Linked DNA regions of Callithrix jacchus. The protein of the gene in region 1 interacts with the protein of each later gene in a biochemical or structural test. Links are inferred from orthologs where the notes say so. Each region holds a gene or a part of one and is shown on either strand. Other genes may lie near its edges. The genes, in order: MAGEF1 and NSMCE1.

Region 1 (3,671 bases):
ACTTTCCAGATCTGCTATGTGTCAAGTGTGCTTGTTACCGAGGTAGCTGTAATCTGAAACCATTTTTATTTTTTGAGACGGGGTCTCACTCTGTCACCCAGGCCGGAATGCAATGGTGCAATCTCAGCTCGCTGCAACCTCCACCTCCTAGATTCAAACGATTCTCATACCTTGGCCTCCCAAGTAGCTGGGATTACAGGCATGTACCACCATGCCTGGCAAATTTTTTTATTTTTAATAGAAACAGGGTTTTACCATGTTGGCCAGGCTGGTCTTGAACTCCTGACCTCAGGTAATCTGACTGCCTCAGCCTCCCAAACTGCTGGGATTACAGGCATGAGCCACCACGCAGGGTCTGAAATCATTTTAATACTATGCCCAACGCCTGGCTTCCCTACCTCCATCTTCTTCCTCCCCTTCCCCCTGCCACATCTTTTTCCCCTTTCCCCAAGTCTGACTAAAGGTAACCCCAAGCAAACCTCACTCAATCACCTCAGCTTGGTTAAGTATCCCTTTGCAGCCTTCAACTCACTGCACTGTTAATTTCTTGTTTATTTACTTACTCTCTAATTCTGAAAAAAAGTAGGACCTTTATTTTGTTGAGTATTCTATCCCCAAGTGCCCACACATTGCATCGCAAAAAACAAGATGCTCCACAAATATTTATTAAGTGTACCAGTATATACTGCTAATTCCTTGCATTTTAATGTTTCTCTAGATACTCAAATAGCTAAGCAAACAGAGGTACATGTCAGTCCTTTTTCTTTTATATACAACAGACAAGTGTTGGGAGGCTAGCCACCAGTTATTTTCCCCTGGTACCAGATCATGCTACGGAGTTCCTTCAAACCATCGAAGTACAGCCTTCCAATACTGCGTCATCTGTTCAAAGTCACAGTATAAACACAAAGTTCAATCCATTTTACAAAACCAGCAAAACTCTACAACAAAATCCCACAGGAAACAGTAGGCCAATCCCATCGACAAACAGCATTTTAACAGTGTATTAAATGTAACAAAACGTTAAGATATAAAATCTAAATCCTTAAAGTCATACGATTTCTACAGAAATAAGACCCTTGCCCCACCTATACTACTTATGACTCAGGACAGTAGCTCATTCCCACGGGGACCCCACTGGTCACCTTTTCACCAACCCTCACCAGAAGTGGATGCCGGGCCTAGCAGCGGCCCTGGCCCTCATACTGGCTTCAGCTCTGGCCTTGGCTCTGGCCCTGTCGGCCTCGTCTGCCAGGGCCTCACGGTACTGCACTGGCCAGTGCTGGGGTTCCTTCTTATGCAGCTTGGCCACGAACCCCAGGACTCTCATCTTGCTGATTTCCAGGTTGCTTCGGGGACCCCAAGAGAATTCATATTCCGGTGGATTGGTGTGAGGTACCCGCCTGTAACTGAGGTATCGCTGCTGGACAAAATCTTCCATAATAAGCCTCTTCGGATACCCAAAGAGGAAATGATTCTTTGAGGGATGCACCCCCAACCGACGCAGCATCTCCCAGACCTGGGCCTCCCTGGCACTATTACCTTTCATATAGATAAGGCCCAGGATCATCATTAAGAGGCCCAGTCTGGGGCCATCTCCTCCCAGATCTTCCTCCTCCTCCTCCTCAAGAGGCTTTAGTTTGTTGATCAGGATGTAAGTGTGGTGCTTGCGGTCAAACAGTTTCAGCTCAAAACCAAAGACATACCGCAGATGCTCTGCGGCTCTCGCGACGATGTCCGGGAACAGGGCCTTCAAGTCTCCAATAACGTATTTCACCATCTCCGAGCGTGTGATGGGACTCTTCTTCTTGTCTTTCACCAGGAGGAACTGCACCAACTCCGCCACCGTCCGGTTCAGACGGCGGTAGGCCCTGCGCCGTGCCAAGGCTTTGGCCGCCAAGGCCCTCGCGCCTTTCCGGGTGAGGGCGGGCTCTGTAGCCCCCTCCTCCCTCCCGGTGCCAGGCTTCTCCGTGGCGAGCTCCTGCGAGGCGGTCGGGGCCGGGGTCTCACCGTCATGGCCGCCATCCTTCTCCCCCTCGGCCTGCGGGAGCGGGAGTCCCCTGCTCTCTGGTGTCTGCAACATGTTTCCGCGCAGGCAGGTGCAGAGCGCGTACAAGGGCCGAGGGGTGTGCGAGCCGCCGCGCAGGCGCCGGGGGAGGGGTTGGACGGCGGCTGGGGCGGCGGGAGGACCAGGAGCGATGGCAGAGGGAGTTCGGCAGCTGCTGGGCGGCACCACACGGGAGTCGAAACTGCGCCCGCAACGCCGCCAGCAGCCGGGACTTGCGGCGCGCAGCCTCAGTCCGCGCCCGCGCGAGGGGCCACTTCCGGCCGCCGCCGCCAGGATGGCGACCCCAGTGCCGCGCGAAGCCCCGCCCCTTCCGGTCCTCTATGGGTTGGAGTGTGCCCGGGCTGCTCTGAGTGGAAGTGCCAGAGGGTGGGGACGGGGGTGCACCCTGCGCTGGATTTTAGGCTCGGAAAGTCGGGGGCGGGGGAATATAGCAGGCCTCTCCCCTCCGAGGCCTGCAGAGTGGTTTCAGGGTACAAGGGGTGAAATAGGGATGGAATGCCGCCCACCTGCTCTCTGCAAGTGCCCACGTGTAAGCGTGTGCATCTCGGACTTTGAGGGCTTTTCCGTGGCTCTATAGTGCACACTGAGGGCTGGGAGCCAGTAAGCAAAGGATGCTAGGGAGATGGACGTGTATTCTGGACGGAAGGAAAAGGTCCTGCAGAAGGATTTAAACACGTGAGCGTCCAGGCCTGAACTGTGTCTTCCTGTTCTGGCGGTAACGTGGAAGATGCGCTGGAGTTCGGCCCGCTGAAATCGGGAATCCAAGTTTGGATGATGATTATAGTGCAAACTGGGAACTGGGACCTGGCCTGTTCACCGGGTGTATCCTCAGTGCCTACAGCAGTGCCGGACACAGAGAGGAACTCCATAAATATTATTCAATGGATCGTTATGAGGGAGTAAGGACAGCAGATTCCATGGGGATAAGAGGAAAATGATAAGATACACTGACGAAGGACAGCTGGCAGGAATAGGGATGGGTTGGAAGAAACGGGAGTTTTTTTTTTTTTTTTTGCCCAAGTCAAATTTGACGACACCCACGTGTTTCTTTTTCTTTTTTTACACACTCTGAGCTTTCTTCTGCTTCTTACTCCTTCCTTCCTTCTTCCTTCCTCCCTCCCTCCCTTCGAGTCCCATCCAAGCGAGCGTGTGATGGGACTCTTCTTGTCTTTCACCAGGAAGAACTGCACCAACTCTGCCACCATCCGATTCAGACGGTGGGGCCCTGCGCCTTGCCACAGCTCCGCAGCCCCCTTCTCCCACCCAACGGCAAGCTTCCTTGCTCCCTCCCTCCCTTCCCTCCCTTCTTCCTTCTTTCCTTCCCCTCTTCCTCCCTCCCTCCTTCCCTTCTTCTCCCTCCCTCCTTTCCTCCTTTCCTCCCTCCCTCCCTCTTTCCCTCCCTTCCTCTCTCCCTTTCTCTCTGCTTCCCTTCCTGTCTCCCTTCCTCCCTCCCTTCCCCCTCCTTCTCTTCCTTCACCCCCTCCCTTCCTTCCTCCCCATTCCCTCCCTTCCTTCCTCCTTCCCTTCCTCCCCCCTCCCTACTTTCCTCCCTCCCTCCTTCCTTCCCTCCTTCCCTTCCTGCCTCCCTTCCTCCTTCCCTCCT
Region 2 (4,260 bases), on another chromosome or scaffold:
TAATCACCACACACTACTGCTTTCCCACTCAGCAGATGAAACTGAAGTCCAGAGAGGTTAAGAGGCTGTCCAAGATCACAGTGGTGGTAAGTGACCAAACCCGGATTTGAGCCTCCCTCTCAGAGACAGACACCTGTAGGTACTACTGTTCTATATTAGTTACCTGTCTCCCTTGCTAGGCTGCATCCCTAGCTCTCAGACTAGGGATGGAATACAAACGTTTGGAAAAATTAATGTCTTGAAGATTCAAAGCAGTCCATTCACTTCCATGAGTAATTTCACTTACTTTCTCACAACAATGCCTAGGTAAGATAATAACATTTAATCAGCACTCCCGTGTGACACTTTTTAATGGCCATGCTAAGCACCTGATACAGGTATTGTTATCTCTTGCAAATCTCACCAACAGTATTTTGCAAGGATTAATATCCCCATTTAATGGAAAAGGAAACAGGCTTAGCGGCTCAGTGACTTGCCCAAGCCCCTGCAACTAGTAAGTGGCAGCGCCAGGATTCCAGCTCAGGCTGTACGACCACACAGTCCATTTTTTTTTTTTCAATAGAAGTCTTGCTCTGTCGCCGAGGCTGGAGTGCTGTGGCCGGATCTGGCTCACTACAACCTCTGCCTCTCGGGTTCAAGCGATTCTACTGCCTCAGCCTCCTGAGTAGCTGGGATTACAGGCACACACCACTACGCCAGGTGAATTTTTAGTAGAGACAGGGTTTCACCATGGTGGCCAGGATGTTCTCGAACTACTGACCTCAAGCGATCATCCCGTTGGCCTCCCAAAGTGCTGGGATACAGGCATGAGCCACCGCACCCGGCCCAGAGTCCACAGTTTTGACGTTGAGGCCACACTGTCAGTTCCACGGATGGGGAAACTGAGGCCCGTGCAGGGCACTACATTGTGCCAGCGGAATCGTAGCCATTATGGGAAGCACGGGCTCTACAAAGGCTCTTCCTCTTTGGTCGGGGCAGTCACTGAGGTCAGGAAGCGGAGGACAAGTGGAAGCCCTTCCCATTATTAAGGATCAATAACCGCGCGGGAATCTGCGTAATTTGGGATCTAACCCCCGAGGCGGAAACAAAAGGGCGATAGCACGAGAGGAGAACCGGAAGTGCGTCACCCTACGGGCGGGAGAATCAGCTGCAGGTCACCAATGGGAAGGCCGCGTTTGCGTTCGCCCCGCCCCAAAGGAAGATGAGTCCGCCTTGCAGCAGTAGCCGCTAGCGCAGTTCGGGCTGCGCTTGGGCGCCCTGGTGGGTAATGCGGCACGCGAAGGGCTACAGGGGAAAGAGGGACTTCGAGGAAGGCGAGGGGAGGACGGAAGAAGGGATGGGCGAGACGGGCAGTGGGGTCTGGCCCCGGCGTCGGCCCGCGTGGGCTGTGAAACTCGGGGACGGGGTATTGGGGTTTGTCCCTTTCCTGATGGGGAAACTGAGGCCCAGAGAGGGGCTGCAGAGGGGCTGCAGAGGGCCGCGGACTGGGATCTCCTCCCGCAACACACAGCAGGCATCTAAAAATCGTACTATTAAGTGAAAAATATTTTTAATCGTAATTAAGTACGATTTAACAGGTAAAGATACTTTTCATCATAATAGGTGAAGAAGCAAAATATAAAATTTGATTCAAACTGTGATTACATCTATGGAAAACACGGCCTTTGCCGACCACCCTCTTTGTTCGTCCCGCCGCCCTCCATGTTCCCCTCTGTTTTGTGTACGGAGTTTACTTCGTACAAGTCCACAACCCTTTGTGTTAAAGCCCCGAGGCCAGATGAGTTTAGAATCAAGGATTTCTGGGAGTTTGGAAAGATGGTGCATACGTTCCATGTTCGGTTTCACCCTCAGCGGGGGCTGGAGCAGCGGTTTGTAATCAAATACACGACTCTTTCCACAATTAAAGATATGCATATATTTACACCGTTGGGATAAATAACCATAGATAGCCTCCCCTGAAGTCAGGTCAAGTTTTCCAACTTAAGAAACAAGTTTTGGTATTCAGACTTTGTCCCCCCCCCCCCCCCCCCCCCCGCATCTGATCATCCATTAGTATTTAGACCTTTTTAGATTTGAAGATTGCAGATGAGGGGGACCTGGATCGTAGTTGTTCTCTTCATTTACCCATCTCGCTCTCGCTGGATTGAGAGTGTCTTGAGAACAGGAACCGCACATTTGTATGGTCTATCTCTGCCACCAACTTGTGTGTCAATTTTTGCCTCAGTTTCCTCATCTGTAAGATGGTGTTAGTGATCCTTAGGGTTAAATGAGGTCGAACATGTGAAGCACTAGAACGGTTAGCACCTGCAAGAATCGTATGACTGAGATTTACTTATTCCACAAACATTTCTATTTTAAAATTATGAAACTTAAATAAGTAAATTTCTTTATTAAATAGATACATTTAAAAGTAATAGATGTATTTCTTAAAATGTGGGTGATAGGAATTTTAAAGATTTATATAATGCTTCAAAAGCCTTAGAATAAGAAAAGTTTTTTAAAATTAGTTTATCTGTATGTCTGAACTCTTGAAATTTACAGCTAAAACGCTAGGATTTGTTTGCAGGTTACAGAGAGATAATTCTGCTTTTAATGATCTAAAACAAAAACAAAACCTGCCAACCTAGGTTACACGGGAGATTAGAGCCAATTTTTCTCTCATTCTTTTCACCTTTTTTCTTTTGCTGTCCACATTGTACCATTATTTTATGAGTCCCAGTTTTCTGGGCTTAAAAAAAAATTCATTTCTAAATGTTGAATTTAGGGAGCTTTTGTTCTTGGATAAAAAGGCATAAACTTTTTTTTTTTAAATCTGTTGATCTGGGAAATACATTGAAATCATGCTGCTGAGCCTCTAGCTTCTTTGATGTTTTCTTTCAGTATTCTTTCATCATAAATTTTTAGCATTTAAAGATTTAATGATGTATATTTAAAGTCAATAAACTTTTCATTAATAAAAATATATATGTATATATTTTTTGATATGGAGTCCCGCTCTGTCACCCAGGCTGGAGTGCAGTGGCTCACTGCAACCTCTAGCTCCTGGATTTAAGTGATTCTCCTGCCTCAGCCTCCTGAGTAGCTGGGATTACAGGCATGCGCCGCCATGCCCGGCTAATTTTTGTGTAAAATAAATTGACTTAAGTAGGTAATACAGCTCTATGGCTAATCCCGCCACTTTCCCCACAGTCTCTCCTTATAGAGACAAGGGATATTACATGCATAAACAACTTATGCTTTTCTTTCGTCTCCTACTTTCCCACCTATTTTCCACTAAATTATAGCGTTATCCTATACTGTACTCATTCTCATTTACATTTATTTTGGCTGTTATTTAACGTATTCACATAATTTTCTTTTTGTAGCAAGTGGATCTTGCTATGTTGCCCAGGCTGGTCTTAAACTCCTGGCCTCAAGTGATCCTCCTGCCTTGACCTCCTAAAGTATTGAGATTACAGGTGTGAATCACGATGCCCAGCCCATCACATTTAAAAACATTGTATGTAACGTACCTGTACAATTGTGTGGAAGTATAAGTTTGAAGAACAAAAATAAAATGAACACTCATGTACCTGCCACCAAGTTAAGAAATAGACATTTTCATATCCCCAGACCCCCCACTGAATCCTTTCTTCCATCCTCAAAGATAACCACCGCCCTGAATATTGTTTTGCTTTGTGGCTTTTACGATGTATGTATTCATCTCTAATGAATATAATGTATGCTTTTGCTGGATTTTTGTTTTTATATAATAGGATGCTAAAATATATTTTGGGTGAGTGACTTGCTTGCTGCATATAACATCTTTCACAGAAGCATGTGTGTTGAGGAGGGGAGCTTTATCTTCACTGCTGATTTGAATTCTCTAGGGTGATGATATTGTTTTAATGTAGTTCTTCAGTTGGTAGGCATTTATATTGTTGCCAGACTCGTTATTACGTGGTGCTTCTATAAAAATATATTTCCTAGGGCAAATATGGAAGTTTCTGTAAGGCATATACCTAATAAATCGTAGATTTCTGGGGATATGCAAATTTGCTGGTAATATCAACTGTTCATCTGAAATGGTTACAAGAATTTATACCCAGCCGGGCGTGGTGGCTCACACCTGTAATCCCAGGATTTTTGGGAGGCTGAGGTGGGTGGATAGCTTGAGTTCAGGAGTGTGAGACCAGTTAGGGCAACATGGTGAGACCCCCAAAAATACAAAATTTAGCTGGGTGTGGTGGTGTGTGCCTTTAGTCACAGCTACCGGGGGTG

Evidence for each region.
Region 2: the proteins of MAGEF1 (region 1) and NSMCE1 form a complex in vitro, tested with the Homo sapiens proteins (2 studies listed by BioGRID). The link is inferred for Callithrix jacchus from reciprocal best matches to the Homo sapiens genes MAGEF1 and NSMCE1.

Annotation. Positions count from the first base shown.
Region 1 is NC_133516.1:13,653,056-13,656,726, forward strand, and holds MAGEF1 (melanoma-associated antigen F1), read right to left. Parts: upstream 2,252-3,671; 5' UTR 2,084-2,251; coding exon 1,160-2,083; 3' UTR 652-1,159; downstream 1-651. UniProt on the Homo sapiens protein: Enhances ubiquitin ligase activity of RING-type zinc finger-containing E3 ubiquitin ligases. Proposed to act through recruitment and/or stabilization of the E2 ubiquitin-conjugating enzyme at the E3:substrate complex.
Region 2 is NC_133513.1:27,854,139-27,858,398, reverse strand, and holds the start of NSMCE1 (non-structural maintenance of chromosomes element 1 homolog), read left to right. Parts: upstream 1-1,193; 5' UTR 1,194-4,260. UniProt on the Homo sapiens protein: RING-type zinc finger-containing E3 ubiquitin ligase that assembles with melanoma antigen protein (MAGE) to catalyze the direct transfer of ubiquitin from E2 ubiquitin-conjugating enzyme to a specific substrate.